Linked DNA regions of Macaca fascicularis. The protein of the gene in region 1 interacts with the protein of each later gene in a pairwise test. Links are inferred from orthologs where the notes say so. Each region holds a gene or a part of one and is shown in the gene's direction. Other genes may lie near its edges. The genes, in order: HSPB1, BAG3, PPM1A, PELO, WDR83, FXR1 and NVL.

What was found.
Region 2: the proteins of HSPB1 (region 1) and BAG3 interact in binary tests that used the Homo sapiens proteins (3 or more experiments, as listed by UniProt). The link is inferred for Macaca fascicularis from reciprocal best matches to the Homo sapiens genes HSPB1 and BAG3.
Region 3: the proteins of HSPB1 (region 1) and PPM1A interact in a two-hybrid assay, tested with the Homo sapiens proteins (2 studies listed by BioGRID and IntAct). The link is inferred for Macaca fascicularis from reciprocal best matches to the Homo sapiens genes HSPB1 and PPM1A.
Region 4: the proteins of HSPB1 (region 1) and PELO interact in binary tests that used the Homo sapiens proteins (3 or more experiments, as listed by UniProt). The link is inferred for Macaca fascicularis from reciprocal best matches to the Homo sapiens genes HSPB1 and PELO.
Region 5: the proteins of HSPB1 (region 1) and WDR83 interact in binary tests that used the Homo sapiens proteins (3 or more experiments, as listed by UniProt). The link is inferred for Macaca fascicularis from reciprocal best matches to the Homo sapiens genes HSPB1 and WDR83.
Region 6: the proteins of HSPB1 (region 1) and FXR1 interact in a two-hybrid assay, tested with the Homo sapiens proteins (2 studies listed by BioGRID and IntAct). The link is inferred for Macaca fascicularis from reciprocal best matches to the Homo sapiens genes HSPB1 and FXR1.
Region 7: the proteins of HSPB1 (region 1) and NVL interact in binary tests that used the Homo sapiens proteins (3 or more experiments, as listed by UniProt). The link is inferred for Macaca fascicularis from reciprocal best matches to the Homo sapiens genes HSPB1 and NVL.

The regions. Positions count from the first base shown.
Region 1 is NC_088377.1:51,430,392-51,434,173, reverse strand, and holds HSPB1 (heat shock protein beta-1), read left to right. Parts: upstream 1-1,256; 5' UTR 1,257-1,296; coding exon 1,297-1,660; intron 1,661-2,364; coding exon 2,365-2,428; intron 2,429-2,546; coding exon 2,547-2,736; 3' UTR 2,737-2,859; downstream 2,860-3,782. UniProt on the Homo sapiens protein: Small heat shock protein which functions as a molecular chaperone probably maintaining denatured proteins in a folding-competent state. Plays a role in stress resistance and actin organization.
Region 2 is NC_088383.1:128,681,531-128,685,563, forward strand, and holds part of BAG3 (BAG family molecular chaperone regulator 3), read left to right. Parts: intron 1-1,972; coding exon 1,973-2,299; intron 2,300-4,033. UniProt on the Homo sapiens protein: Co-chaperone and adapter protein that connects different classes of molecular chaperones including heat shock proteins 70 (HSP70s), e.g. HSPA1A/HSP70 or HSPA8/HSC70, and small heat shock proteins (sHSPs), e.g. HSPB8.
Region 3 is NC_088381.1:128,107,859-128,112,677, forward strand, and holds the start of PPM1A (protein phosphatase 1A), read left to right. Parts: upstream 1-1,654; 5' UTR 1,655-2,110; intron 2,111-2,849; exon of another isoform or gene 2,850-2,914; intron 2,915-4,819. UniProt on the Homo sapiens protein: Enzyme with a broad specificity. Negatively regulates TGF-beta signaling through dephosphorylating SMAD2 and SMAD3, resulting in their dissociation from SMAD4, nuclear export of the SMADs and termination of the TGF-beta-mediated signaling.
Region 4 is NC_088380.1:58,213,336-58,216,342, forward strand, and holds the end of PELO (protein pelota homolog), read left to right. Parts: 5' UTR 1-797; coding exon 798-1,523; intron 1,524-1,815; coding exon 1,816-2,247; 3' UTR 2,248-2,436; downstream 2,437-3,007. UniProt on the Homo sapiens protein: Component of the Pelota-HBS1L complex, a complex that recognizes stalled ribosomes and triggers the No-Go Decay (NGD) pathway.
Region 5 is NC_088393.1:13,054,347-13,058,812, forward strand, and holds the start of WDR83 (WD repeat domain-containing protein 83), read left to right. Parts: upstream 1-1,577; 5' UTR 1,578-1,644; coding exon 1,645-1,747; intron 1,748-1,830; coding exon 1,831-1,951; intron 1,952-2,033; coding exon 2,034-2,139; intron 2,140-2,424; coding exon 2,425-2,473; intron 2,474-2,556; coding exon 2,557-2,683; intron 2,684-4,466. Other genes in the region: WDR83OS (PAT complex subunit Asterix), read right to left, coding at 221-287, 382-479, 982-1,087, 1,208-1,257. UniProt on the Homo sapiens protein: Molecular scaffold protein for various multimeric protein complexes. Acts as a module in the assembly of a multicomponent scaffold for the ERK pathway, linking ERK responses to specific agonists.
Region 6 is NC_088376.1:92,786,468-92,790,500, forward strand, and holds part of FXR1 (RNA-binding protein FXR1), read left to right. Parts: intron 1-3,208; coding exon 3,209-3,280; intron 3,281-3,689; coding exon 3,690-3,838; intron 3,839-4,033. UniProt on the Homo sapiens protein: mRNA-binding protein that acts as a regulator of mRNAs translation and/or stability, and which is required for various processes, such as neurogenesis, muscle development and spermatogenesis.
Region 7 is NC_088375.1:82,137,860-82,142,609, reverse strand, and holds the start of NVL (nuclear valosin-containing protein-like), read left to right. Parts: upstream 1-1,771; 5' UTR 1,772-1,821; coding exon 1,822-1,878; intron 1,879-4,750. UniProt on the Homo sapiens protein: Participates in the assembly of the telomerase holoenzyme and effecting of telomerase activity via its interaction with TERT. Involved in both early and late stages of the pre-rRNA processing pathways.

The DNA.
Region 1 (3,782 bases):
CTGCTTAGTGACAGAACCAAGATGTGAATTCAGGCAGTCTGGCTTCAAAGTCCACACTCCTAACAACCGTACCAGATTACCAGATTGTTTTTTTTTTTTTTTTTTGAGATGGAGTCTCGCTCTGCCGCCCAGGCTGGAGTGCAGTGGTGAGATCTCAGTTCACCGCAACCTCTGCCTTCGGGGTTCAAGCAATTCTCCTGCCTCAGCCTCCCCAGCAGCTGCGATTACAGGCGCCCGCCACCACACCCAGCTAATTTTTGTAATTTTAGTAGAGATGAGGTTTCACCATGTTGGCCAGGCTGGTCCCAAACTCCTGACCTCTGGTGATCCTCCCACCTCAGCCTCCCAAAGTGCTGGGATTACAGGGGTGAGCCACCACACCCAGCCCAGACTGCTTTATCTTTGTATTTGTATTTATTCATTTACTTATTTTGAGACAGGGTTTTGCTCTGCAGCCCATGCTGAAGTGCAGTGGTGCAATCCAGGTTCACCAAAGCCTCTACTCACCAGCGTTCAAAGGAGCTCACCAGCGTTCAAAGGAGCCTGCTGCCTCAGCCTCCAGAGTAGCTGAGGCCACAGGCGTGCACACCATGCCCAGCTAATTTTAAAAAAAATTTTGGTAGAGGTAGGGTCTCACTATGTTGCCCAGAATGGTCTCAAACTCCTGGCCTCAGGGGACCCTTCTGCCTTGGCCTCCCAAAGTGCTGAGATTACAGGCATGAGCCACGCACCCGGCCCCTTTTTAAAAATTTTTTTAACAGGTCCTTGCTCTGTTGCCTAGGCTAGAGTGCAGTGGTAAGATCATAACGCACTGCAGCCTCGAACTCCTGGGCTCAAGCACCAGCCTGCTTTATATCACATTCCATCTCACACGCTTGTGATTCCAATCCTGCCGCTGCCACTTCTCAGTTGTATGCCCCAACCCAACCTGCCTGGCTCTGTCCTCCTTAACAAAAGAACGGCCCTGGCCACGGGTCACAGTCGGCAGCTCTTAAGCACCAGGGCCGGCGAGTGCCCTGCCGTGGCACGGCTCCAGCTTCGAGCTCTCGAACTCATTTGTTTTCCTTAACGAGAGAAGGTTCCAGATGAGGGCAGAACCCTCTTCGCCCCGCCCACGGCCCCTGAACGCTAGGGGAGGAGTGCATGGGGAGGGGCGGCCCTCAAACGGGTCATTGCCATTAATAGAGACCTCAAACACCGCCTGCTAAAAATACCCGACTGGAACCGCATAAAAGCGCAGCCGGGCCCAGCGCCCCGCACTTCTCCGAGCAGACGTCCAGAGCAGAGTCAGCCAGCATGACCGAGCGCCGCGTCCCCTTCTCGCTCCTGCGGGGCCCCAGCTGGGATCCCTTCCGCGACTGGTACCCGCACAGCCGCCTCTTCGACCAGGCCTTCGGGCTGCCCCGGCTGCCCGAGGAGTGGTCGCAGTGGTTGGGCGGCAGCAGCTGGCCAGGCTACGTGCGCCCCCTGCCCCCCGCCGCGATCGAGAGCCCCGCGGTGGCCGCGCCCGCCTACAGCCGCGCGCTCAGCCGGCAGCTCAGCAGCGGGGTCTCGGAGATCCGGCACACGGCGGACCGCTGGCGCGTGTCCCTGGATGTCAACCACTTCGCCCCGGACGAGCTAACGGTTAAGACCAAGGATGGCGTGGTGGAGATCACCGGTGAGTCCCCCTGGTCCTGCAGAGGAGGGGAGGAGGCTAGCGGGGCGGGCAGGGCCGGGGGAGGGGTGCGGTTGAAACGGGGGTCCCGGGGGCCTGGGGAGTTAAATGTTAGCCCAGCACCGGGAAAAACAGGATCCCTGATTCCTCTGCTCAGGAATTGGGAGTGCAGGTCGCTTCTAAGGGCGCTTTGTGCTCTGTAATCCCAGCGCTTTGGAAGGCCGAGACGGGAGGATGGCTTGAGGCCAGGAGTTCAAGACTAGCCCGGGCAACATAGCGAGACGCCCCCCAACACTACAAAAAAATTAAAAAGCAACCAAAAAAATTTTTTAAAAGACCATCAATGAAGAGAGAAAATGCACCTTTCCACAGAGCCCCCTCCCCACCCACAACCCCATCCCCAGATAAGCGGGTTCCCTGTTTCTAGCCGCGGAGAGGGCGTGCGTGCGGCTCCAAGTGCGCCTGGGCACTGCTCACTCCCCAGCTCGGCGCCCTGCTCCATTCCTCCCAAAACTCTGAATCGAGGAACTTTCCGGAAGTTTCTGAGAACCCGGACAGGCGGGCACGCCCCCACCCCCAACCCCCTCCGTTAATCCCTGCCGGCCTGCAGTCCTAGCTGCTTCCAAGCAGGAGGTGGGGCCTCTGGCCTGGCGGGGCCGAGAGGCGGTCCCCTCCCCCATAGTCTGATTTCCCTCTTTCCCCAAAAGGCAAGCACGAGGAGCGGCAGGACGAGCATGGCTACATCTCCCGGTGCTTCACGCGGAAATACACGTGAGTCCTGGCGCCAGATCGGGGTGGGTGGGGGGCGGGGGGCGGGGGTCAGGGAGGAGGGCACAGGGACCCACCCAGTGTGTAATGTAACGCTCGCCTTCTCTCTCTGCACGTCCAGGCTGCCCCCCGGTGTGGACCCCACCCAGGTCTCCTCCTCCCTGTCCCCTGAGGGCACACTGACCGTGGAAGCCCCCATGCCCAAGCTAGCCACACAGTCCAACGAGATCACCATCCCGGTCACTTTCGAGTCGCGGGCCCAGCTTGGGGGCCCAGAAGCTGCAAAATCTGACGAGACTGCCGCCAAGTAAAGCCTTAGCCCGGATGCCCACCCCTGCTGCCGCCACTGGCTGCGCCCCCCCACCCTCAACCTGTGTGTTCTTTTGATACGTTTATCTTGTTTTTCTCAAATAAAGTTCCAAGTAACCCACCTGTCACTGGCTCAGACCCTGGTATTTGTGGAAGGAAGCCTCAGGCACCTGCCATTTGCTGGCTTCCACAAGTCACCTTTACTCAGGGTGTACTGTGTGCCCAGCCCCGTGCTGGGCCATGTTGGTACACTGATGTAGGTTGCTGGACACGGGCTGACTCACATAAAGAGAGGTCGTAGGGCCGGGCGCAGTGGCTCATACCTGTAATCCCAGCCCTTTGGGGGGTTGAGGCAGGAGAAGTGCTTGAAGTCAAGAATTCTAGACCAGTCTGGACAATGTAGTGAGACTCTGTCTCTAAAAAATAAAAATTAGCCAGGGTGTTACTGCATGCCTGTAGTCCCAGCTACTCAGGAGGCTGAGGCAGGAGGATCGCTTGAGCCCAGGAGTTGAAGGGTGCAGTGAGCTAAGATCGTGCCATTGCACTCCAGCCTGGACAACAGAGCAAGATCCTGTTTCAAAAAAACAAAACAATCAAAAGCTCAGAAAGAGTGAGACCCTGTCTTTAAAAAAAAAAAAAAAAAAAAAAAAAAAAAAAAAAAAAAGGTCATGATTGCAAGGTTATGATTGCAATTAAAGCTGTAAAGTCGGGAAGGAGGAGGAACTAGGAGAAGCACCTGAGGCTTGAGTTCCCAGGAGCACCTAGGCTGGGTCCCAGGTGAAGGGGCACAGAGGTAATTGAACTTCCCCGCAGAGCTGATGGGAGGATTACTATGTCAAAAGCTTGGCGTCAACTTGAGCACACCCCAAGGGCACCGCAGTGGACCTGGCAAGCTTTGAGATATCTGTCTCTCACTGCCACACCCCCTGAGGCCAGGGCATCCCTGTTGGCAGTCACAAGGGAACTGGCAGGCAGAACTGGGGTGAGAACGGAGCCCACAGAGTCGGGGTGGGGAGACTGGGCAGTGCCCTGGCCGACCCACAGGCTC
Region 2 (4,033 bases), on another chromosome or scaffold:
CTTTCCTGCGGTACATCTGGAACTTGGCCTTCTCAAGGGTCTGAAAATAGCCAGGCCACTGAAGGGAGAACTTCAAGAGAGGGCATAAGAGAAGGACTCCAACTGCTCCTTGCCCAAGCAGGCTCTGTTGTGTTGAAGAAAAAGTTCTTCAGTGATACTTGTTAAAGCACAGTCATGAAGATTTATTCAGGGCCATCAAGATAGGCACAGGGACCATGGCAGTGGGGTCTTGCAATTGCGGGGAGAGACTGGGTGCAACTTCACGTACAGCACAGGCGCGTGGGAACTGATAGGGAGCAGTGTGGGGGTCAGTGGATGGAACATTAGAAGAGGAAGCATCAGGGCTAAGGGCGTTTCTGGCTACGCTGACCAAACAGGATTCTTGCTGAAGACAGGCCAGGGTGATTAGACAGCACCTGGGGATGATGGAGGCTGAGGAAGCTGATCAGATAGTGAGGCTGGGGAGGGGCCTTCTGGCTAAACTGTCTTAACAGTGTCTTTTGCTAAAACTTGACTTTACAAGGAAGTGCACAGATGGGCCTAGGAGAAGCTTCAGAAGCCTAAGGTTTGGCCAAGCAGAGAATCTTTGTCAGTTGGCATCATTAGGCGGCACAGTTAACCCTGGGTGCTCCTCTCCCCCTGCGCTGCCTCTGCATCCCTGTCCTTCCCCGTCCTGCAGATTGTTCTTTTTTTTTTTTTTTTGAGACGGAGTCTCGCTCTGTTGCCCAGGCTGGAGTGCAGTGGCGCTATCTCGGCTCACTGCAAGCTCCGCCTCCCGGGTTTACGCCATTCTCCTGCCTCAGCCTCCCGAGTAGCTGGGACTACAGGCGCCCGCCACCTCGCCCGGCTAATTTTTTTGTATTTTTAGTAGAGACGGGGTTTCTTTTTTTTTTTTTTATTTTTTTTTTTTTGAGACGGAGTCTCGCTCTGTCACCCAGGCTGGAGTGCAGTGGCCGGATCTCAGCTCACTGCAAGCTCCGCCTCCCGGCTTCACGCCATTCTCCTGCCTCAGCCTCCTGAGTAGCTGGGACTACAGGCGCCTGCCACCTCGCCCGGCTAAGTTTTTGTATTTTTAGTAGAGACGGGGTTTCACTGTGTTAGCCAGGATGGTCTCGATCTCCTGACCTCGTGATCCGCCCGTCTCGGCCTCCCAAAGTGCTGGGATTACAGGCTTGAGCCACCGCGCCCGGCCGAGATGGGGTTTCATTGTGTTAGCCAGGATGGTCTCGATCTCCTGACCTCGTGATCCGCCCGTCTCGGCCTCCCAAAGTGCTGGGATTACAGGCTTGAGCCACCGCGCCCGGCCGAGACGGGGTTTCATTGTGTTAGCCAGGATGGTCTCGATCTCCTGACCTCGTGATCCGCCCGTCTCGGCCTCCCAAAGTGCTGGGATTACAGGCTTGAGCCACCGCGCCCGGCCCCTGCAGATTGTTCTAACAGTACTCCTGAGGAGGCAGCCCTTACTCCCCAGCCCACTTCTCTGTAAAGATTCCCAAACTGTGTCCTGTGTTTGGGCCCAGCACAAGCTCTGTGTTGCTGGGAAACGCGAGGGCCTTTTTAGAAACAGAGATGCTTGCTGTAATGTAGAGGTTGGAGCTGACCCCTGCTCCTGGAGCTTACCTTCTGATCCAGGTCTCTGAAAATGCGGGCGTGGGCGGCTCTCCTACACCCACTGCTGCCCTCGTTCACCCAGAAAAGAAACCTGTCTTACCAGTTTGGGGAATTGGAACCTTTCCTGTGCTTAACAGATACTTTTGGCTTTCTCCTGATGTCCCTAGTTCGTAAACTGTTGGCCAGACAGCAGGCTCTATAGGGGTAGAGGTTTGGAGGGTGCAGGGGCTGGGAGCTGGCTGACGCTGTGAGGCCCAAGTCACTCAGGAAGATCACAGTGCCAAGTGCCACAGTTTTCTCCGCCAGGAGGGTTCACTTCCCGGTTTCTAACGAGCCTGTGTTTCTCCACTTTTTATTTCAGGAGACTCCATCCTCTGCCAATGGCCCTTCCCGGGAGAGCTCTAGACTGCCACCTGCTAGGGAAGGCCACCCTGTGTATCCCCAGCTCCGACCAGGCTACATTCCCATTCCCGTGCTCCATGAAGGCGCTGAGAACCGGCAGGCGCACCCTTTCCATGCCTATCCCCAGCCTGGGATGCAGCGATTCCGAACTGAGGCGGCACCAGCGGCTCCTCAGAGGTCCCAGTCACCTCTGCGGGGTATGCCAGAAACCACTCAGCCAGATAAACAGTGTGGACAGGTGGCAGCAGTGGCGGCAGCCCAGCCCCCAGCCTCTCACGGACCTGAGGTAAGGAGAGGCCAGGCTCACGGGCCTGCTGGGGAGTGAGCCGCTGTGCTTCCCAGGCCGGGCCCAGTCCCCGAGGACACTGCCCTGGGCCAGGCACCTGTTCACATGCAGGGCATCTAGGCCTGGCCTGCAGCATCAGAGGTCACCCAGCAAAGACAGGGTGATAGCCCCATGTCATCCCCCAGCATCTCATAGGGCTGTTCTTCAGTGGGGCAGGGCAGGAATCACATGGCTTCTTTTTGTAGTTAAGGAACAGCTCGGAAGGGCACACTACAGCCTGCCTGCTCCACATGCACGCAGGTGGAGGGAGCAGAGCTGGGACCGGAAGCCTGACCTGCCTTCTGGCTCCTAATTTCCGTGCTCCTCATTCACACTGGGCTTTCTATTCAGAAACACAGAGATAGCTGTGTACTGTTTTGTTCAGTTCAATGCTTATGGATCAGTCTTAACCACTGGTGGAGCTATATTGATAGGAAAATGAGACCCCATGCCTGTCCTCACTGTGCACCACAGTTTAAAAAGAAATAAGGAGTCAGCAAGGCAACTGCTTTAAGACGGCATTTTAATCCTGAAGCCAAACATCTCAGGGATATGTCAATGGATTCTGTGCATTAATAGCTAAAAAATATTTAACCTGGTTCTTAGCTGAGATTTGAGGCATTCCTAGTAGGATTCCTGAGCAGTAAGCCCTCTCATTTTCCTGTCTGTAGATCATCCCCGTGTGTGTGTCGGCGTTGTTCCTGGGCACAAACTCCCATGTCCTATCTGCACCCAGAGTCACACTTGCCTCTCAGCTCCCTCTGAATCTGTTCAGCTTCACACCTGCTTGAGAGTGAAAAGTTACAGTTAATGTGGAATAGCAGAGGCTTTTTTCTTTTCTTAAAGAGCTAGTACCTGGCTGAGGCAGGTGGATTACTTGAGACCAGGAATTTGAGACTAGCCTGGCCAACATGGTGAAACCTCGTCTCTACAAAATATGCAAAAATTAGCCAGGTGGGGTAGCACATTCCTGTAATCCCAGCTACTCAGGAGGTTGAGGCAGAGAATTGTTTGAACCCAGGAGGCAGAGGTTGCAGTGAGCTGAGATCGCACCACTGCACTCCAGCCTAGGTGATAGAGTGAGACTGTCTCAGAAAAACAAAAACAACAACAACAAAAAAAGAAGTAATACCTATATTTATAATGGTTTTGCTGCAAGAAATCAAAGTGACATGTAAATCTGAGACATCTTCACAAATTTAAGCTAACAAGGCACTTAGAAGGGGAAATGCTCTCAATTTCAAGGTGAATAGAAGGTGGCCCAGCAGGGAAAGGGACTTGAGCTGCCTTGGGCCACACGGGATGCTTGCAGCTAGCTCCCAGTTGCTCAGCCGAGTTCTCTGTAGATTGGCAAAGAAAGGGTAATGAGGACAACACATCCCCTGTATGAGCGCTTCCTGTGTGCTGGCCTGGGGCTGAGGCACATGCCCAGGTGACTGACGTCATCTTCAGAGCAGCCCGGTGAGGGAGGGGGTGCTCTTCCTATATTTTGTTTTTTTGTTTGTTTGTTTTTGTTTTGAGACGGAGTCTCGCTCTGTTGCCCAGGCTGGAGTGCAGTGGCACGATCTCGACTCACTGCAAATTCCATCTCCCAGGTTCAGCCATTCTCCTGCCTCAGCCTCCCAAGTAGCTGGGACGACAGACGTGCACTACCACCCCCGGCTAATTTTTTGTATTTTTAGTAGAGATGAGATT
Region 3 (4,819 bases), on another chromosome or scaffold:
AAGAAATTCTAACCCCAAAGATATTAAGTAATTTTTGCGTTCCTTGACGATTTGGTTTGCCAGTGACTGGCGATTATACATTTGATCGTGTTGTTAGGTTCTAGGTCTAAAAGTAAAGGAAACAGAACCTTCCCCAAAGTCATGTTGAGAAAATTGGAGATGGCTTTTTACAACTTTAAAAGCAGTTAAATGCTTGCTGAATGCCAGAAAGAATGAATAGTTTGCTTTTGATCTAAGAGTTGGGGCAACAAAATGGTTTAGGAGATAGAAAGTAGTAAGGTGCAAATTGCTGTAGTAAGCTCCTCAAGTAAAACAGAGAGGCCTTCAACATAAATTTACCTTTTTTACTGGCCAGAACTCAATTTGGCCAGTAGAAGAACCTGCCTTCTACAGTGAAGTCTTTGTTTTGTGTGTGCATCAGAACATCTTTTAAAAATACGGACTTTTCTTATAACTTCTTCTCCTGTGAATGTGTAGGTCAAATTTGTGAACCGGTTAAGCCGCTGACAAGAGAGGGAAGGGCACCCCAGCCAATGGGAACTCATGCTGGTGATGTACTGCTCCTAGGCTGCGATTCATTGGCTGCCTAGGGTTTGTCATTCTATACCCGGCGTCTGCAAGCAGCGTGGGTCGGGTTTTCTAGCTAGCTGAACTGGATTTTGGCAGCCGGCACGTGCAGTTTCTATTAACTTTAGCTCATCTCTACCTCTTAACAGAAGCAGCTGTTATGTTTCTGATTATTCTCCTGATTTTGAAAAATCCTATTTCCTTCACCTACCTCATTGGAGGTCATTGGAGGTCCCCTGGGACAGAATCACGTGATTATCTAACATGTGCAAATAAATACAATGTGGAATCCCCTGAGCTACAGAGGGAAAACCTGCCAGAAAGAGCATGTGCCCCGTGCGTGAATCAGCTGCACTCGCACGTGGGTGGGCGGTGGTAGTGTGCGTGTCTCTGCCCTTCGGGACGCGAGGTGTGTGGCCGTGGCACCTGCTTGGGCTTCATGGGGTCACTGGGAGAGGAAGGCTCTGGAGGCGTGGGACTCTGGGGTAGGGGGGTCTGGCAGCTGCCTGGGATCCATCATGGGTTCGAAGGGCAGCGGCCAGACCGCGACGGCGCCCAAGAAGGGTGGACAGCTCCGGGTCTGTGATCGGGGCTGCGTGTACACCATCTTCGCAGGGAGTGGGGTTTGTATCTGCAGGCCGGTAGAAAGCCAGGGCTCGGGGCGCGGACGCCGTAGGGGTAGCTTCCAAGTCCCTACTTGGCCAAGGGCCGGGCATGGAGGGGCTGTCCATCTACTGGGCACCGAATAGTCGCACATTCTGTCCAGTCCCTGACGCCAGAACGTGAAGGCCCGAGTCCTCGCTGCTATCCGGACCCCGCTCCCTTCGGCTTCAGCCTGGTGCTCCAGGCCGCAAGGCGACGGCGGCGGCAGCAGCGGAGAAAGAGGCTGGGTAGGGCAGTGACGTCATCTGTGGCGGCCCCTCCCCCGCCCGCCAGCCTTCGCCGCAGTTCCTGCCCAACGACATCCGGGTCTCTGTAGCTGCTCGCCGCGCCGCAGCTGTAGCGGCGGTGGAGCCAGCGGGGCGGGGCGAGCGGAGGGTGGGGGAGGGGCGACGCGGTCGTGAGCGCGCCTGCGCGGGGCCGCGCTAGAGGCGGCGGCGGCGGCGGCGGCGGCGCTAGGGACGGGAGCGCGCGCGGGAGCTAGAGAGCAGTGGTCTCGGCGCCGGTCCGGCCCGCAGCTTCGGGTCCTCAGGCGGCTGCTGCTCCGGAACGGGTGGTTGGGGAGGGGGGGTGGGGGGACGCTAGACAGGTGAGGCGCGAAAGCGATGAATCCTCGGCTCTTCCTCCTCCTCCTCCGGGACCCGCTCTCTGCCTCCCTCTCCAACGCCCGGATGATCTGAGCCGCGAGGGCGCCGAGAGCCGGGGGCCCGGACGCAACCCGGCTCCTCCCCTCCTCCGCCCCCTCCCCGGCCTGACCTGGCCCGCCGCTGCCGCGGTGACCCCCTCCCCGGCTGCCGCCGCCGCCGCCGCGGTGACCCCCTCCCCGGCTGCCGCCGCCGCCGCCTCGGCCGACCAGGGACCTGCCCGCCTGCGGCTGCTCCGGGTAAGTGCGGCGCTTGGGCCGACGGCGGGCGGGCGGGCGGTGCGGGCCTGCGCGGCGGCGGCGGCGGGCAGGCCTGGGGCCTGTAAACAAGCCGGGCGTCTGCCCGGGCGCTCCCGGGAGGAGACGCGACAACTCCACCCCCTGGCCGGCCTCCTCCCCCGAGCCGGGCGGCGGGCGGCGAGGGGTTAACGCTCGGCGAGGGCGGTGGCGGTGAGGCGGGGGCGGGGTGTTTGTGGCGGCGGCGCGGGGAGGGGGCGCGACCCCCTGGCCGTCCGCGGCCGGGAGGGGTGTTTGTGGCGGCGAAGCGGGCGAGGGCCGCGGGCCAGCCTGGCCGGAGAGCGGCCTGCGGAACTTTTCCCGAGCGGGGAGGGGGCGTCCTCCCGCCCCTACCCTCCCGGGCGCGCCGCCCCTGCTGTCCTGGGCTTTGGCCCCTGGGAGGGAGGCGGGGAGATTTCTTTTGAATCGGGCTTAGCCTCGAAAAACCTAATTCTGTAGAAATTGCTTAAGGGTTTACAGGGGGCAGGGCTGAGAAGCTCCTTCAGAACTCAAGTCAGTGAGTGATGCCTCCAGTTCATTCATTATTAAGGCATCGAAAACATCCATTGAAGTAAATTCCGATTTCTCATCCTTTTAACTACGTAAATTGGTTAAAACTTCTTGATGTTAGAGCTTGGTTGAGGTATGGTTCTGTTCTGCTTGTAGATTTTAATTAAACTTGGATCCTTTTCTTGAAAGACAGCTGGCTGTGGAGAGCCTTCTACCAACTGCAGTTTTAGATACGTTTTGAAAATTTCATCACCTGAGGTATTTTTCTTCTCTCTCCTCAAACACCACATGGTACTTATAAATCCACAAAGGTCATGCTTCAGTTGTCCAAGCCATGGGGTCTGTGTGCTACCCCCGCCTCACCCCGAGTTTCCTGCTAATTGGAATAATGAGCTGAATGTGTTTCAAGAAGTGGTTGGAAAAGTGTGAGAGAGAGGTGTCATTTTCTCAAAGGAAATGATTTTGACATTATTGAGATAAATTAGAAATTTTTAAACATTGTTGTGTAAAACAGTCTTTTCAAACTTGCACGTTGAGGTTTTAAACACAACCACTTTACTGAGTGTGTTTCGCTCCGAAAAGTGGAGGGATTTGTTGAAACACCACTCTGCTGAGACTTAGGGTTCCAGAGCACTCAGGAATTTAGCAGAGTTTGGTCCCCAACTCTCTTTGAAATACTTCACTTTTATACTTTTATCTTGCTACATATTGGGCCTTTTCCAAAGATTGTTTTTCTGTAACTCCTTATTTTACAAATGAGAAAATTGAAAATAAGGAGATTTTCTGTTCTTAGATGTTACTTTTATTGACTTAATGCTTTCTTTACCAATAAATAATTTGAAGCACAAAGTAACATTTCCAAGTGTTACAGTTTTGTTCTTGTTATGTGTAACTTACATGTATCTGATTAAACTTTCAGTCATTTAAGGATGATTACTTTTAACCTGGAAGTTTACAGCAGTACCACATTATTGAAACTATAATGAACTTCCTGCACCACATGGCAGTTGCTTAAGACATTTTAATTTGATATCATAAAACATTTTTAGATCAGTGAAGTAATTACATTATGGGAAAGGTATATTAAGACTGATAATGTTTGAAGTTAACTACCTCCATTATATTTGAGAAATAATAGTCATCAAATTCCTTTTTGTTTGTATCTTTTTATGTATTTTGTATACATATTGTATATTTTTACATGATGGACTGAGGTATATGACCGGTTGAAGGGAACAGTGCAGTAGGAGACAAGGATTGTTTAGTCATGGCTATGCTCCAAAATATCTGTGTCCATGGACAAGTCCTTTAACCTTTTGAGTTTCAGCTTCCAAATCAGTAAAGCCAGTTGGGCAGATTAGATTATCATATGTACTGTCCAGTTATTACATTTTTAAATTTTCTTATCAATATTGTGTGACTAGTCACCATACCTTTGCCAAATAAATACCTGTTATGTGTGAGGCACTTAGATGTTTCGGTGTTCTAAGGCTGGATTTCTTTCTCGGTTCTGTTTTATTTAACAAATTCTAAGTTGGTGATGGTTCTTTAGAAAAGCTATTCTTGTAAGCTATTCTTGATTTTTCTTTTGGGATTGGGATGTATAGAGAAACTCTTGAGAGGGAGAAGGATGGAGATTTCATGGGAGACAGAGGGTGGTTGAGACTACAGGTTTGAACAAGCACAGGACCCTTGGTAGTCTGATGTGAAGGATATTATAAAAATACATTATGAAGGTTTTTTCTGTCACTTCAAGCTGGGTCTTGTTAAACCTTTGAAAATTCTGTAATACCTCATTTGTTTTTGAAAGAAATCTATGGCAACATCATTTTGTCATGTGGTAAATATTGCTAAGCAGTTACTAAATACCTATAGTCTTTGAGTTTGTTCAGATTATACCTAGGCCATTTGTTTACTCTAATAGCTAGTAGAATGTACAGCTGATTTTGCTTTAACTGTGTGTGTGCTTATTTGTAATTTTTAATCAAAGAGTGGCATATATCCACAACGAACTTGTTACCTCTGAAATGCCCGTGAGAACTGGATTAATTTTTTAAGATGTAAATCTATGGTCATGTAGAAATAATGTAGCAAGGTGATATTTTGATGATCCCCTCAAATGATTATCTAACTCTTGCCTGGGCACCTGACTCTGAGTCAGTA
Region 4 (3,007 bases), on another chromosome or scaffold:
CGCAGAAAACAGCTGGACATGTTGCTGGGAGCCCAGACAGAACGTGATCAGTAGTTCTCAGAAACTGCGTCTAAATACCAGCTCCAACAGGCTTGTAGCGTCCGAGTGCGGATAAGGCAAGTGCAAAAACGACAATAGTTTGGGCCTTTGGGGCCAAATCTGCACTTCTGAGAGCTACTTTTACTGCTAAGTTTTGAAATTTAATTTACCCAGAAGGAAGCGTTTCAGAGTGGCAGCCGCAGCCAGGTAAAACTAATATTTGCACTCACACACTCCCCGGATTCTTCACAGACAGGGATGGAAGAGAAAACTTAGGAAGTTCAAGTTTGGCATTAAACTAAAGGACTCGCCGCCACTCTGCACCTTCTTTAGGGAGTTCATTCGTCCCGAGCGCCTCACAGCTTAGTGCGCCTGCGCGTGCGCGGACTGCGGCCCCGCCTCCCCCTTGGGGACGTGGACGTGCGTCGGGTCGCGGGACGCGGGCTGCGCATGCGCCTTCATTACGTCAGCCCGCTGCCTCGGGCTGCCAGCGGGAACCGCGGAGTGGACGATTTTCGCTGCTGTGTTTCCCGTGCCTGTTAGGCGCAGCGAGCCCGCAGACTGAGCGAGGAAAGGATAGAGGAAGTGCTCCCCTAGGCTGCAAGAGTCGAAGCAAGAGTATTTCCTTCCCACCAGGCAAGTGCCCATAGAAACCGGGCCCCGCCCCCTTCCCGGCCTGCGTTCCCGTCTCCTCTACGGGGCGGAGGTGAGGACCTCCTTGGTTCCTGTAGTTCTGTCAGTGAGCCCCTTCCTTGGTCATGAAGCTCGTGAGGAAGAACATCGAGAAGGATAATGCAGGCCAGGTGACCCTGGTCCCCGAGGAGCCTGAGGACATGTGGCACACTTACAACCTCGTGCAAGTGGGCGACAGCCTGCGCGCCTCCACCATCCGCAAGGTACAGACCGAGTCCTCCACGGGCAGCGTGGGCAGCAATCGGGTCCGCACTACCCTCACTCTCTGCGTGGAGGCCATCGACTTCGACTCTCAAGCCTGCCAGCTGCGGGTTAAGGGGACCAACATCCAAGAGAATGAGTATGTCAAGATGGGGGCTTACCACACTATCGAGCTGGAGCCCAACCGCCAGTTCACCCTAGCCAAGAAACAGTGGGATAGTGTGGTTCTGGAGCGCATCGAGCAGGCCTGTGACCCAGCCTGGAGCGCTGATGTGGCAGCTGTGGTCATGCAGGAAGGCCTCGCCCATATCTGCTTAGTCACTCCCAGCATGACCCTCACTCGGGCCAAGGTGGAGGTGAACATCCCTAGGAAAAGGAAAGGCAATTGCTCTCAGCATGACCGGGCCTTGGAGCGGTTCTATGAACAGGTGGTCCAGGCTATCCAGCGCCACATACACTTTGATGTTGTAAAGTGCATCCTGGTGGCCAGCCCAGGATTTGTGAGGGAGCAGTTCTGCGACTACATGTTTCAACAAGCAGTGAAGACCGACAACAAACTGCTCCTGGAAAACCGGTCCAAATTTCTTCAGGTAAAACAATCTTACCCAGGGATAGTTAAGAATGGGCAGAGGGATTGGTATAAACTACTCCTAAAGTTTTAGAACTGGGAAAAATAAGAGGAGAAAGGCTTTACTTACCTGGAATTTTCATGAGATAATGAAATTAAAAAAAAGAGAATGTTAGATATCTAGCAAATTTGTGGAGTCAACTTTGCTGAAACATATGAAGCCTTATTAGCGCTTTTGGCTTTAAGCCTTTGTGGGCTGATCAATGGGTGTTCTGAGAGATTCTTTTGCCTAACTTTTATAATTGTGATTCTAGGTACATGCCTCCTCCGGACACAAGTACTCCCTGAAAGAGGCCCTTTGTGACCCTACTGTAGCTAGCCGCCTTTCAGACACTAAAGCTGCTGGGGAAGTCAAGGCCTTGGATGACTTCTATAAAATGTTACAACATGAACCGGATCGAGCTTTCTATGGACTCAAGCAGGTGGAGAAGGCCAATGAAGCCATGGCAATTGACACATTGCTCATCAGCGATGAGCTCTTCAGGCATCAGGATGTAGCCACACGGAGCCGGTATGTGAGGCTGGTGGACAGTGTGAAAGAGAATGCAGGCACCGTTAGGATATTCTCTAGTCTTCACGTTTCTGGGGAACAGCTCAGCCAGTTGACTGGGGTAGCTGCCATTCTCCGCTTCCCTGTTCCCGAACTCTCTGACCAAGAGGATGATTCCAGTTCTGAAGAGGATTAATGATTGAAACTTAAAACTGAGACAATCTTGTGTCTCCTAAACTGTTACAGTACATTTCTCAGCTTCCTTGTGACAGAAAGCTGCAAGAATGGCACTTTTTTATTCATACAGGGATTTCTTATGTATTTGGCTACACTAGATATTTTGTGATTGCCAGAACATGTATTTAAACAATAAACTAAAAGGAAATAATCTCCACGTACTACCATCTTTATTAAATTGGGTAATTTTTATAGGAATTACGAGTTATCTGTAGTACTTGGAAACAGAAAATGTGTGTATTTAATAACGATGCCTATATAGTATGTTGTTTGGGGTAAATTGTAAAATTTCACACTGCATGCTTTGAAACAGTTTTCCTTAGAAAAAGCTTTTGCTAACTTATCCTCAGTTTGCATTATTTCTTTATTTTAATTCTGCATGGTGTTCTTGCATTGCATTTAATGATCCCTTTTCTCCCCACCTCCACACACTACATATTTTTTAGATTTAAATAGTTTTACTATTTTAAATGATTGCCGTACAATTAGTAGACTTGAAGACAAGTTTTAAATATTTTTCTTCAAAGGCTTGTTGAACCAATCATGTTAAAAGGAAATTCTTGGTTTTGTTTTGTTGTTGTTAGCATTAGTCATATTTGATTTAGAGGGTAACTTAATCAGTTATTTTTAGATTTTTAGAGCTTTGATCTGCTAGGGATTGTCAAAATAATCTTGAGGCATCTTTATTTTTAAAATGAGATTGAAGTATGTGATTTGCT
Region 5 (4,466 bases), on another chromosome or scaffold:
GACAGCATCTCCCCCAGCAGCAGGCAGGGGAAAGGAGGCAGGAGGGGTAGGCCTAGGGTGTTCCCTAGGAAAGGGCCAGGTTCCCTCCATCCAGCTGGAGGCACTGAGACGGCCTCATTCAGGGAAGTCCAGGATGGCAGCTGAGGGCAGCAGGTTGAGCAGCCAAAGCCCAGGCCTAGTGGATAAACAGGGTCCAAAATGTGACCTTTCTAGGCTGATATCACCACGGGGGCGTCATGGGCTGAGGATTCTGCAGATAGGACATCACCACGGCAGAGATGGACAGCCTGAGACAGGAGAGAGGTGTCAGTCCAGGATGGGCAGGCTGGAGTCCCCCCACCCCTTACTCAAGAGTCACTCGTTCTCTAGGCCAAGTCTCACATGAAGCTACTCATCATTTGCTTCGTGTCCTCCGAGCTCCGAGAGTTGGCAAAGCTGATGAAGGAGCAGTAGACAGCGACCCAAGCACACCACTTCAGCTGGGGAAAGGTAGGTGGGTGGGCAGGTCAGTGAAAGGCACAACAATGAGTCCCGAAGCCACCTTTCCAGACACCAGATCTTGCCCACTGATTCCATCTGATGCAGCTGGGACCTTGCCCCCCGGAACTCCTCAGTCCCACCTGCTCATGGCATACTCCAGATACATGGTTTCTAGTCCTACTGCCTGGACTGCGTCTCTCAGGGCCAAGACTCTGACATCCCACATGCTTAAGACCCTGCCCCTTTCCACGAGTCCCCTCCAAGTTGCTTCAAAGCCTGGCCCCACCCGCAGACCAATCTGCCACATCCCCGCCCTGACCCGAATTCTTGACTTCACCAAAGACTGGGGCTTTCTTGGCCCAGCGTCATCCCAGCCCCACTCCCGGCCGATCTCAGGTCCTGCCTCATCAGCAATGACAAGACGCCCGGCTTCATTCCAAACCCGCCCCCGGGCCTCGTTCTCAGGTCTAACTACACCCACAGAAGCTCAATCCCGCCCACCTTAAGCATGAGGCCGCACATGCTGAAGATCATGCCCAGCAGGTTCATGTAGTCCGGCGTCGGGTCGTCCAAGGCCGGGTTACATTCGCTGGGCGGGGGCTTGTACCTGCGACAGGCTCGAGGGTCAGGGGCGCTCAGGTCCTGTCCCCGGGATAGACAGCCGCTTCCCAGGGCCCCGATCCACACCCCCAACCCGAACCCGTGGCCACGACGCTGGCGTCCTCACCTAAGCACTTTGTTCGGCCTCCGTGGGTCCGACATATTGTTAGTAGACATAGCGAGTCGAAGGCCAGGTCACGCCTCTTCCGCTGCAGAAATTGCAGCTTCCGGCGTGCAAGCTGAGGGCGGATTTTAGAGTCACACCCGAGGCCCTCACATTTCCGTTCCTCATGACAGAGGCTTGGACTCCTCCTACCCAGAGATCGGAAATTTAGGAGAATCCAGAAGCCTTCCTTGCAAAGGGGAAATGGGGAAAAGAACCTGAAATCGGGCTTCAATAGTTCCAAGAAGAGCACCCAAATGCCAAAATGATGAACCCGGAAGTGATAAACAGGAAGTAGTTCAGGAAGAACAATAATAAGGTTACACCCAAGCGTGGGTTTCGAAGGCGCGGAATCTTCCATACAGACCGATTTAAGGCGGCGAGGAAGGGGTCCTGGGACTATGGCTTTCCCTGAGCCAAAGCCGCGGCCTCCGGAGCTGCCGCAGAAACGGTTGAAGACGCTGGACTGCGGGCAAGGGGCGGTGCGAGCCGTACGATTTAATGGTGAGCGCCTTAGTCTTCATTCCGGGTCCTCCTCCCGCCTCCTGAGGTCGGCGGCCCAGTAACCCCCGCCTGGTGTTCCCCAGTGGATGGCAATTACTGCCTGACGTGCGGCAGTGACAAGACCCTGAAGCTATGGAACCCGCTTCGGGGGACGCTGCTGCGGACGTACAGCGGCCACGGCTACGAGGTGCTGGATGCGGCCGGGTGAGCCGGGGGCCAGGCTGGGATGGGAGCGCTGAGGCTGGGATCCGAGGTCGATGCTGATCTTCTTCCTCCTTTACTCCAGCTCCTTTGACAACAGCAGTCTCTGCTCCGGCGGCGGGGACAAGGCGGTGGTTCTGTGGGATGTGGCATCAGGACAGGTCGTGCGCAAATTCCGGGGCCATGCAGGGGTGAGTGAAAGCCTGGAGACCCTCATTCGAGCGGAGGGGACCCGTATTAGCGCACAGGTGGTGATGAAGCCACCCCCATTACACCGTAAGGATCCCTTCCCCAGATGACGATCCCCCGCTCCGCATGCCAGGCTAGGCAGTCACCAACCCCTGTCCTTGCTGTTCCCCCAAAACCTTTCACCTCCCCTTCTAACCTTTGCCCTTGCTTTAACCGACACTGGGAACCCTGCCTTTATCCCAGTCCTCCAAAGTCCAGCCTCCTCTGAGTGGCAATAACTTTCTCAGAAGGTGAACACGGTGCAGTTTAATGAAGAGGCCACAGTTATCCTGTCCGGTGAGTCTGGGACCTACGCAGGGGGGTCCAGGATGCTGCCCTTCCCCTCCAAACCTGACCTCACCATCATGCTGGCCTCACAGGCTCTATTGATTCCAGTATCCGCTGTTGGGATTGCCGCTCACGGAGGCCTGAGCCAGTGCAAACGCTGGATGAGGCCAGAGATGGCGTGTCCAGTGTGAAGGTGTCAGACCACGAGGTCCTGACAGGGTGAGTGGAGCCAGGACCTGGTCTCAGCCGAGGTGCTACTGGGAATCATAGCTGCCCCCATGCTCAGATTAAAACCTACTCTCAGCTGGGCACAGTGGCACACAGCTGTAGTCTCAGCTACTTGGGAGGCTGAGGTGGAAGGATCACTTGAGCCCAAGAGTTTGAGGGACCACTGCACTCCATGCTGGGTGAAAGTGAGACTGTCTAAAAAATAAAATAATAATCAAGCCGGGCATGGTGGCTCACACCTATAATCCCAGCACTTTTGGAGGCCGAGGAGGGCAGATCACTTGAGGTCAGGAGTTTGAGACCAGCCTGGCCAACATAGTGAAATCCCGTCTCTACTAAAAATAAAAAAATTAGCCGGGTGTGGTGATGGGAGCCTGTAATCCCAGCTACTTGGGAGGCTGAGGCAGGAGAATCACCTGAACCCGGGAGTTGGAGGTTGCAATGAGCCGAGATTGTGCCACTGCACTCCAGCCTGGGCAACAGAGTGAGACTCCGTCTCAAAAAAAAAAAAAAGATAAAATGAAACGATTTAAAAAGTTAAATAAAAATAGACCGGGTGTGGTGGCTCACGCCTGTAATCCCAGCACTTCGGGAGGCTGAGGCAGGCGGATCCTGAGGTCAGGAGATCGAGACCATTCTGGCTAACACGCTGAAACCCTGTCTCTACTAAAAATTCAAAAAATTAGCTGGGCGTAGTGGCAGGTGCCTGTAGTCCCAGCTACTTGGGATGCTGAGGCAGGAGAATGGCGTGAACCCGGGAGGCAGAGCTTGCTGTGAGCCAAGACTGCACCGCTACACTCCAGCCTGGGCATCAGAGCGAGACTTCGTCTCAAAAATAAATAAACAAAACAAATTTAAAAAAATAATCATAAGGAAATTTTTTTTTTTTTTTTTTTTTTTTTTTTTTTTTTTTTTAAGATAGAGTCTGTGTCGCCAGGCTGGAGTACAGCGACGTGATCTTGGCTCACTGCAACCTCCAGCTCCCGGGTTCAGGCAATTATCCTGCCTCAGCCTCCTGAGTAGCTGGGACTACAGGCATACGCCACCACGCCTGGCTAATTTTTGTATTTTTAGTAGAGACGGGGTTTCACCATGTTGGCCAGGAGGGTCTCCATCTCTTGACCTTGTGATCCGCCTGCCTCGGCCTCCTAAAGTGCTGGAATTACAGGCGTGAGCCACCGCGCCCGGCCGAAATAATATATTTTCTATTCATTAAGTGGAAGTGAAGAGATCATCATAAAGATCTTCACATTGAGAAGGCGGAGGAGAAGGAGGAGGAGGGGTTGGTCTTGGTGTCTCAGGGCTGATAGAGGCAGAAGAAAATCCACATATAAGTGGACTGCTTCAGTTCAAACCCTGTTGTTCATGGATCAACTGTACTTTGAAAAGTGCTCCCTCTGGTGGCTGTGGGGGTGCAGGGAGACCAGAGCAGTCTAGATGATGGTGCTGGGTAGTGGGGAAAGTGGTGGGACTGAGTACTGAGGAGGAGGAGCTGGAGAATACAGAAGGGGGAATTGGGCCAGGTGGGGTGGCTCATGTCTGTAATCCCAGCACTTTGGGAGGCTAAGGTGGGCGGATCACCTGAGGTTGGGAGTTCAACACCAGCCTGACCAACATGGAGAAACCCTGTCTCTACTAAAAATACAAAATTAGCAGGGCATGGTGGTGCATGCCTGTAATCCCCTCTACTCAGGAGGCTGAGGCAGGAGAATCGTTTGAACCTGGGAGGCAGAGGTTGCAGTGAGCCGAGATCAGGCCATTGCACTCCAGCCTG
Region 6 (4,033 bases), on another chromosome or scaffold:
TCACTGTGCCCGGCCATTATTAGACTTTTTTTAAGGCCATTATTGACTCCATGCTGGAGTATAGTGGAGCAAACACAACTCACTGCATCCTTGACCTCCTGGGCTCAAGCGATCCTTCCACCCCACCCCAGGCCCCCAAATAGCTGAGATTACAGGCACATGCCACTATGCCTGGCTAATTTTTGTACTTTGCATAGTGATGGTGTTTCTCCATGTCGTCCAGGCTGGGCTCGAACTCTGGAGCCAAAGTGATCTGCCCACCTCAGCCTCCCAGAGTACTGGGATTACGGGCGTGAGCTACCACGCATGGCCTTATTAGACATTTTAATAAGAGTTTAAACATAGCAAATCCAACTTTTTCATATTTTCCAGATTTTGATGATATATGTATCTACAATGAATGCAGTTGTCTAAATGTAACTAACTGCTCACTGTTACACATGAACCTAGGACATACCAATCTTACAAATACTGCTAGCAGATTTAAAATATATGTCTAATAAATTCTAGCTTATTCTGGTTATTCTTACAGTTAGATTATCAGAATGCAGTCCTTGAATACTTTGGAACTTTTAGTGGCATCTCATTCTATTGAGGAAGGGATAGCCATCTCTGCTGTAATTATAGTATTTTTAGTCAATTGAATTGACTAATCTACTGAATATTTTTGCATTTCATTGTCTTTTTTTTTTCTAGTTAACCTTTGTATGCACATCTGCTTTTGACATTTCCACTTACGAAGTACATTTCGGCATACAAACATTTCTTAAAATTTTATCTTCAATTTTTATTTTACCTTGTTTTTTTTGGAACAGAGTCTCGTTCTGTCACCCAGGCTTGAGTGTAGTGGCACGATCTTTCCTCACTGCAGTCTCAACTTCCCAGGCTCCAGCAATCCTCCCACCTTAACCTTCCATGTAGGTGGGACCACAGGTGTGCTCTACCACACCTGGCTAATTTATTTTGTATTTTTGGTAGAGACGGGGTTTCATCATGTTGTCCAGGCTGATCTTGAATTCCTGAGCTCAAGCAGTCCACCCGCTTGGCCCTTCAAAGTGCTGGGATTACAGGTGTAGGCCACTGCGCCTGACCACAAACATCTTAAAAGATGAAAGAACACTGTCTAATACCCTTTTAGCAAACCAGGATGATCTGGTTTCTGGTTGGAGGATTTTGCAGTCTCAGTTGAGTCATTAACTGGATGAGAATGCACATCATCTTTCCCTCTTCTTAGAAATACATTGTTTGAGAATATTCATCTAAGATGTCACCATCTGAAGACTTCATAGTCTGAGACTTTGCTTTGTAAGATGATTTCACATTTATCAGTAGAACCTAGTGTGCTGCTGTCTCTTTGCATCTGTTGTCTGATACCTCTACTAATTAGAAAGGCCTTCCTCTGTAAATTTTTCTTCTCTTCGCAATTATGAGTGAAAAATTCATAATTATCAACTGGTCAACGGTAGCTAAAAGCAGACTACAAGGATGGTGTTTTTGATCTTTTGAACTGTTTTGAAAGAGATGTGATACCTTGGGCTATGCAGTAAGGAAACTGTATGAACATTAACAGTTTATTTCACTGTTGCATCCTCTAGGTGATGCCATCATTCCTCTGTTCCATGTTAGTCTTTATTTAAAGCATAGCTGAGAATAACTGATGAATGTTGATGAAATAGTAAAGTGTTTCAAGACATAGGAAAAATAAGATCACTAGATTCTCCTTACATTTATAAAAGGGCCCAGTGGATACATATAATAGAGTATAAGGGTGAGTTTTATTCTAGTGTTAAACTTTCTTATTTTTGGAATATGTCTAAGGAAGAATATAAGTCATGAGATATTGATCCCTTTGAATAGTTAGATCTGTTTATAAAAGAAATGGAAAAACTAAAATTGAGTTTAATGGACCCTGATTAGTAAATTGGACTTACTGGTTTTTCTCATAGATTTTTTTCTAATCATGGTGTACAGTAAAGTTCATTAGTAGGTTTTGGTTTATTCATTTCCAGTTCCAGTATTCCTACCACTTCCAAGATTACTTTAAAATCATCCTGATAGAAGCTTCAGGCTAAAAAAGTCTTTGTTTTTAGTTGTTTGCATTTATCTCCCAGAAGTCTGTTAATATCCACTGATAGGTTTCCTTGGTCATCTCTGCAAAGGCATTCAATCTTGGTTTTTATTGGTTCTTAGTAGTTTCTTCTCAGAAACAACTTTTCTACCTTTCTCTATATTGAAAATATAATGCATTAAAGAAGCTCTGCTGTATCATAAGAAATAACTCTAATCCCAAGTAAAAGCTTCTGTGACCTATTGCATTAATAAAACTGATATTTATAGACATGAAGAATATAAGACTTGTTTTTTTGTGGATAGTTTTTGTTTTGTTTTGGAGATGGAGTTTCGCTCTAGTTGCCTAGGCTGGAGTGCGATGGCATGATCTCTGCTCACTGCATCCTCTGCCCCCTGGATGTGATTACCCTGCCTCAAGTGATTCTCCTGCCTCAGCCTCCCGAGTAGATGAGATTATGGGCACCTGCCACCATGCCCAGCTAATTTTTGTATTTTAGTAGAGACAGGGTTTACCATGTTGGTCAGCCTGGTCTCGAACTCCTGACCTCAAGTTATCCACCCACCTTGGCCTCCCAAAGTGCTGGGATTTCAGGCGTAAGCCACTGTGCCCAGCCTGGATAGGAGTTTTGTAATATACTTAATGTATTCTGCTAGATGAACTGAATGTGTGTAATTTTTTTTTTCAGTTAAACAATTTTTTTTTAGTTCATTTGATTTAGGTTCTTCAGCAAGGGATCTAAATGTCATATCCTCGATGGAATTTAAAAATTAGGTTAATCACTTTCTGAGAACAAGTTTTAATATTAACAATGTTGACAGAAACAGGAAGACCTGTGTTTTACATTATTTAAAACTCCTTTGTAAGAGTATTTCTTTAAAATAATACTTATGTTTAGTAAACCTCATGAATGTGGAATTAATTTCCAAGAAGCTAAATTGCCCAAAAAAGTGTAGTTTTATTTTTAAGTAGTAAATTTAAATGTACATATCACTTTCATTAAATTGCATTTAATATACCAGTTTAAATAGCATTTTTGATTCTTAAGTTTAATGGGATTGGGCATTAATAAAAAGTCATTATTTACAGCATTGAAATCTTTTGGGATGAATGGATATAGGCATTTTTTTTTCTTCTCAGGTATATTCAAGAGCAAATGACCAAGAGCCATGTGGATGGTGGTTGGCTAAAGTTCGGATGATGAAAGGAGAAGTAAGTAATTTTCACACTTGCTTTGTGACTAGTTTCTAAGGAATTACCTCAGTGTTTGGTTTTTGTAAATGTTATTTCAACTGTTAGTTTTATTTCTGAAAGCCTACCTGAGAAATAGTTGATCACACATTTCCATTAGCATTTATTTCTGTTTGTGTTCTGTATTGGCAAACACCAAAGCTGCTCTCCAGAGGTACACCTCAAGCATGTAAGGACCACCAAGGTTCATGCTTGTAAGAACCTATAATCTAGTTTAGGCAAATCAGATTTATGTAACTAAGCTGTGCTTAGTGTTTATGCCACATGGGGGAGGGTCCATTGGTTAAGCTGAGCAAGGTAATTAGAACTTCATTTAAACTTCATTATTTTTGTTCAGATGGGATTTTTAAAGTATTTTGATGTCTTTTAGTTTTATGTCATTGAATATGCTGCTTGTGACGCTACTTACAATGAAATAGTCACATTCGAACGACTTCGGCCTGTCAATCAAAATAAAACTGTCAAAAAAAATACCTTCTTTAAATGCACAGTGGATGTTCCTGAGGATTTGAGAGAGGCGTGAGTAATTTTATTTACTATTGAATTGTTCTGTGAATTAAGAAGATTTTTCAGTCCTACAAAACATTTTCCCTAATGCCCAATCAAAACCTTGTGATGGAAAATCATCTTAATGAACAGAGGTTTTAGTGGGGGATGTCAAAATGAAACACTGACTTTGTATTATAACTCCTCTGAATTTAATCTGTTGAGGTC
Region 7 (4,750 bases), on another chromosome or scaffold:
GAGGCCAAGGCAGGTGGATCACCTGAGGTCAGGAGTTTGAGATCAGCCTGGCCAACATGGCAAAATGCCATTTCTACTAAAAATACAAAAAATTAGCCGGGCATGGTGGCACATACCTGTAGTCCCAACTACTCAGGAGGCTGAGGTGTTAGAATCTCTTGAATCCAGGAGGTGAAGGTTGCAGTGAGCCAAGATTGTGCCACTGCACTCCAGCCTGGGCAACAGAGCAAGACTCCTTCTAAAAAAAAAAAGAAGAAAAGAAGGAAATTCTAACACATGCTATATGAGGGCATTAAGCTAAGAAACAAGCCACTCACAAAAGTCAAATATGGGAAGATTCCACTTATATGAGGAAGTTAGTGTAGTCAAAATCATGAAGACAGTAAGTAGAATGGCAGTTGCCAGGGGCTGGGGGGAGGGAGGAATGGGAAGTTATTTTTTAATTAGTATAGAGTTTCAGTTTTACAAGATGAAAAGAGTTCTGGAGCTAGATGGCAGTGATGCTTGCATATTATGAATGTATTAATATCACTAAACTGCACACTTTAAAATGTTTAAGATTGTAAATGTTCTTATATTTTACCACAACTAAAAAAAATAAAAATAAAACAGTACATATAGTGAAGAAGAAATGAAGTTGCAACCAAAGGGACCAATATTTTGGGTGAGAAATCTAATACTTAATTCAGTGCTAATTTTTACATTTTTAGTAGAGACAAGGTTTCACCATCTTGGCCAGGCTGGTCGTGAACTCCTGACCTCAAGTGATCTGCCCGCCTTGGCCTCCCAAAGTGCTGTGATTACAGGTGAGAGCCACCTCGCCCGGCCTCACACCCTTGTGTGTGATTCTCTTAATTCCATTTTCTCTCTTCCCCTCTGCCCCTTAATATACTGCACTTCACCTTGTCATGAGCCAAGTAGGACCTGAAATAAGAATACTCAAAACACGGAAGAAATAAACAAGAAGACAGAAACTAAAGCCCATATATATATATATATATATATATATATATATATATATATATATATTTTTTTTTTTTTTTTTTTTAGTGCTTGGTAACTATCCCTTTGTGTCTCCCTAAGTGCAGGATAAACTTCTTGGGACAAATACAAATGTTTGATAAAATCTGGGCCAAGGAGTCTTGCACTGGATATATTCAACAAATTACCTGCCGATGATAACAGCGTAAGTAAAACGAGTTCTGAAAGTAAAAAATGACTTAGTTATCCTCAGTTATAAGGATAAATCCGTCCTTTTCTTTTTCACCTAGCCCTTTTGTTGGGCCTCTAAAATGTAAGGTAACTACGTGGGAAAGCAAGCAACAGCTGGTAGTGTGTTTTTACCCTGATTTTATCACTCCAAGTATCTACCGCCGCTGGCTTTGCGAAGACTAGCTTTGTATCAGAACGAGGTGCGGCCGGAACGCCTGAGGAAAGCAAACCAACTTTCCCAGCCGACGCGTTGACAGCGTGTCCCCACGCTGCGCCGGGGTAGGAACTTCCTCCAGCCTGGTTCGCCCGGCGGGGAACCAATAAAGTTGAGCGCGTTCAAAGGGGTCCTAATCTTCCAGGGCCCACTGGGCAGGCCTGCAAAATAAGGCCCCTAGAAACTCCCTGAGGTTTGCAAGTCTTCTCCCGCTCCTCGGAATTTCCCGCCCCCCATTCGATTACTTTTATTCTGAAGGAAACGGCGCGGGCTAGGCCCCAGGAGGGGCGCTTTTCAGGTGCAACTGGCCCGGCGATCGCGGTGGGCAACCCCTACGAGGCCCCCGGTTGACTGGGAGCTGACGGTCCGAGCTGTGGCTTTGGAAGACCCAGACGATGAAGCCTAGACCCGCCCGGTTCGTAGATAATAAACTCAAGCAACGAGTCATCCAGGTGTGTATTCTGCACCGCTCGGTCTCGCCAAGGGCCCCGATCACTGCCCCAGGGTGCCACTCCCCTTTTTTTCGGGTGGCGTCCACGTGGAACTCAACTAGTCTTCTTTTCTCCAGTCTGGGTCTGGGCGTGCGTCTGTTCCTCCTTCGTTGGTGGTGCCGGGGCCTTCCCTACCCACGTTGGTGCGGAGTCTCAGCAGAAACCGGGGACAGTGGGAGGGTGCAGCTTGGTGGGGCTGCCGAGGATGTCTGGTCGTCTTCAGCGCAGATCATTCAGTAGAGTGGAGTTAGCCTTTGAATTTTAACCTCTTTGACTTGTGAAGTTAGTACAGGAATGGTCTTCAAACGCTCGCATTGTAAGAGGTCCTTGAAAAGGGGTGGCATAAATAATACGTTAATTTCCGCCGTCAAGGAACTTACACACTAAAACGAGATAACACGGTCTGGCAACAGTAACAGGCACTTTGCCTACGGTTTTCTCATTTTCATGACCATCAGTAAAAAGCAGTGTGTGGCAAATACCTTAGAATGTAAACAAGCAGTCTGAGTTAAAAGGCGGGAGAGAATTTTCTTCACTTAGGAATTGGTGAGCTACACATTCTCCTTGTTTTTCTTTCACTTCACCAGCCCCTAAACAATCTCCTTTTCGGACCCATCTTTTCCTACCAACTTGTAAATGTTGGAAGTGCTCTGAGCCACTGTTCTCTTCCCTTCCCTTCCTCCTCTTTCCTCATACACCTTTCTTATCTATCCATACTTCCTATGTGATCTCATTTAGTCTAATAACCTTTGAATAGTTCTATGTATTCTATTATCTATATATTTATTTCATTTTATTTTTATTTTTCTGAGACACAGTCTCGCTCTGTTGCCCAGGCTAGAGTTCAGTGGCTGTTCATGGGCACAATCGTAGCTCACTGCACCCCCGGCCTCCCTGGCTCAAGCAATCCTCCCTCCTCAGCCTCCCCAGTAGCTGGGACTACAGGTGTGCACCACCACATCTGGCCAATTTATTATTATTATTATTATTATTATTATTATTATTATTATCATTTGTAGAGACGGGGTTCCACTATGTTACTCTGGTTGGTCTCTAACTCCTGGGCTCAAACGATCAGTCCTCAGCCTCCGAAAGTGCTGGGATTACCGGTGCAAGCTGCTGTCCTGTCCTCTATATATTTATGACGGCTACATTTGTATCTGCTGTCCAGATTTTATCTTGAAGTACAGATTGATATATCCAGCTGCCTAGTTAGCGTATCTCCAAATTAAAATGGCCAAGTGGAACTTGTGATTTTTTCTTCCTTCAAACCTGCCCTTTCTTAGTGTTCTGTATCTCGGTAAGTGATACCACCGTTTGTCCAGTTGTTAAGGCCAAAAGCCTTAAGGGTCATTCTGAGTCTTTCTTTCATTTCCTGTATACCATCCATCAACAGCATGGTTTGCTTTACTTTCAAAATATATTCCAAGTACTTCTTACTGTCTTTCCCTATAACCATCTTAGTCCAAACCATCATCTCTACCTTATACTATTGCAATAGCCTCCTAACTGGTCTTTCTGAGTCTGCTTTTACCTAAAGCCTATTCCCCACAGAGCAGCCAGAGACATCTAATTTTTTTTTTTTTTTTTTCGTTCACTGCAACCTCTGTCTCCTGGGTTCAAGCGATTCTTCTGCCTCAGCCTCCCAAGTAGGTGGGATTACAAGTGCATGCCATCACGCCTGGCTAATTTTTCTATTTTTAGTAGAGACGAGGTTTCACCATGTTGGCCAGGCTGGTCTTGAATTCCTGACCTCAGTTGATCTGCCCGCCTCAGCCTTCCAAAGTGCTGGGATTACAGGCATGGCCAAGACATCCTTTTAAAGGGAAAAATTAGGCTAGGGGAGGGATAGCATTAGGAGAAATACCTAATGTAAATGACGGGTTGATGGGTGCAGGAAACCACCATGGCCCTTGTATACCTGTGTAGCAACCTGCATGTTCTGCACATGTATCCCAGAACTTAAAGTATAATTTAAAAAAAAAAAAAAAAAGGGAAAAATCAGAGCTTGCCATAGCCCTGCTCAAAACCTTTCAGTGGAGTCACAGACATCTAGAGTAAAACCCAGTCAGAAAAGCCCTGCATATTCTGGCCTCTGTTGTCCTAGTTTACTTTTCGTCTCCTGTTCCAACCACACAGACCTTCTCAAACATGCCAAGCACAGGACCTTTGTTCTCGTTGTTCACTCACTCTGAATTACTCTTCCTCTGGATGTTCCCGCATCCCACAACTTGCTCCTTCACTTTATTCAAGTTTCTGAGCAGTGACTCCTAATTACTGCATCTAGTGGCCTCTTCTCTGTCCTCACACTTGACTGCTTTTCAACTTTTGACATTATCAGTTTTCCTCTGTAGCTTTCACTTCGGTTCATTATAAAAGTACAAATTGAATATCCCTTATTCTAAATGCTTAAGACCAAAAAATGTTTCAGATTGATTTTTTTCAGGGTTTGGAATGTTTGTGTATACATAATGAGATATTTGGGGATGGGACCCAAGTTAAACATGAAGTTTACTTATGTTTCATATACACCTTATACACATGGCCTGAAGATAGTCTTACACAAGATTTTAAATAAATTTTCACTTAGCTATATATTTAATTTAATTTAATTTTAATTTTTTATTTTTGAGACTGGGTCTCACTCTGTCACCCAGGCTGGAGTGCAGTGGTGTAAACAGTGCTCACTACCACCTCAAACTCATGGGGTCAAGTGATTCTCCCACCTCAGCCTCCCATGTAGCTGGGACCACAGGTATGCACTATCACGTCTGGCTAATTTTTAAATTTTTCATAGAGATGAGATCTTACCATCTTGGCCAGGCTGGTCTGG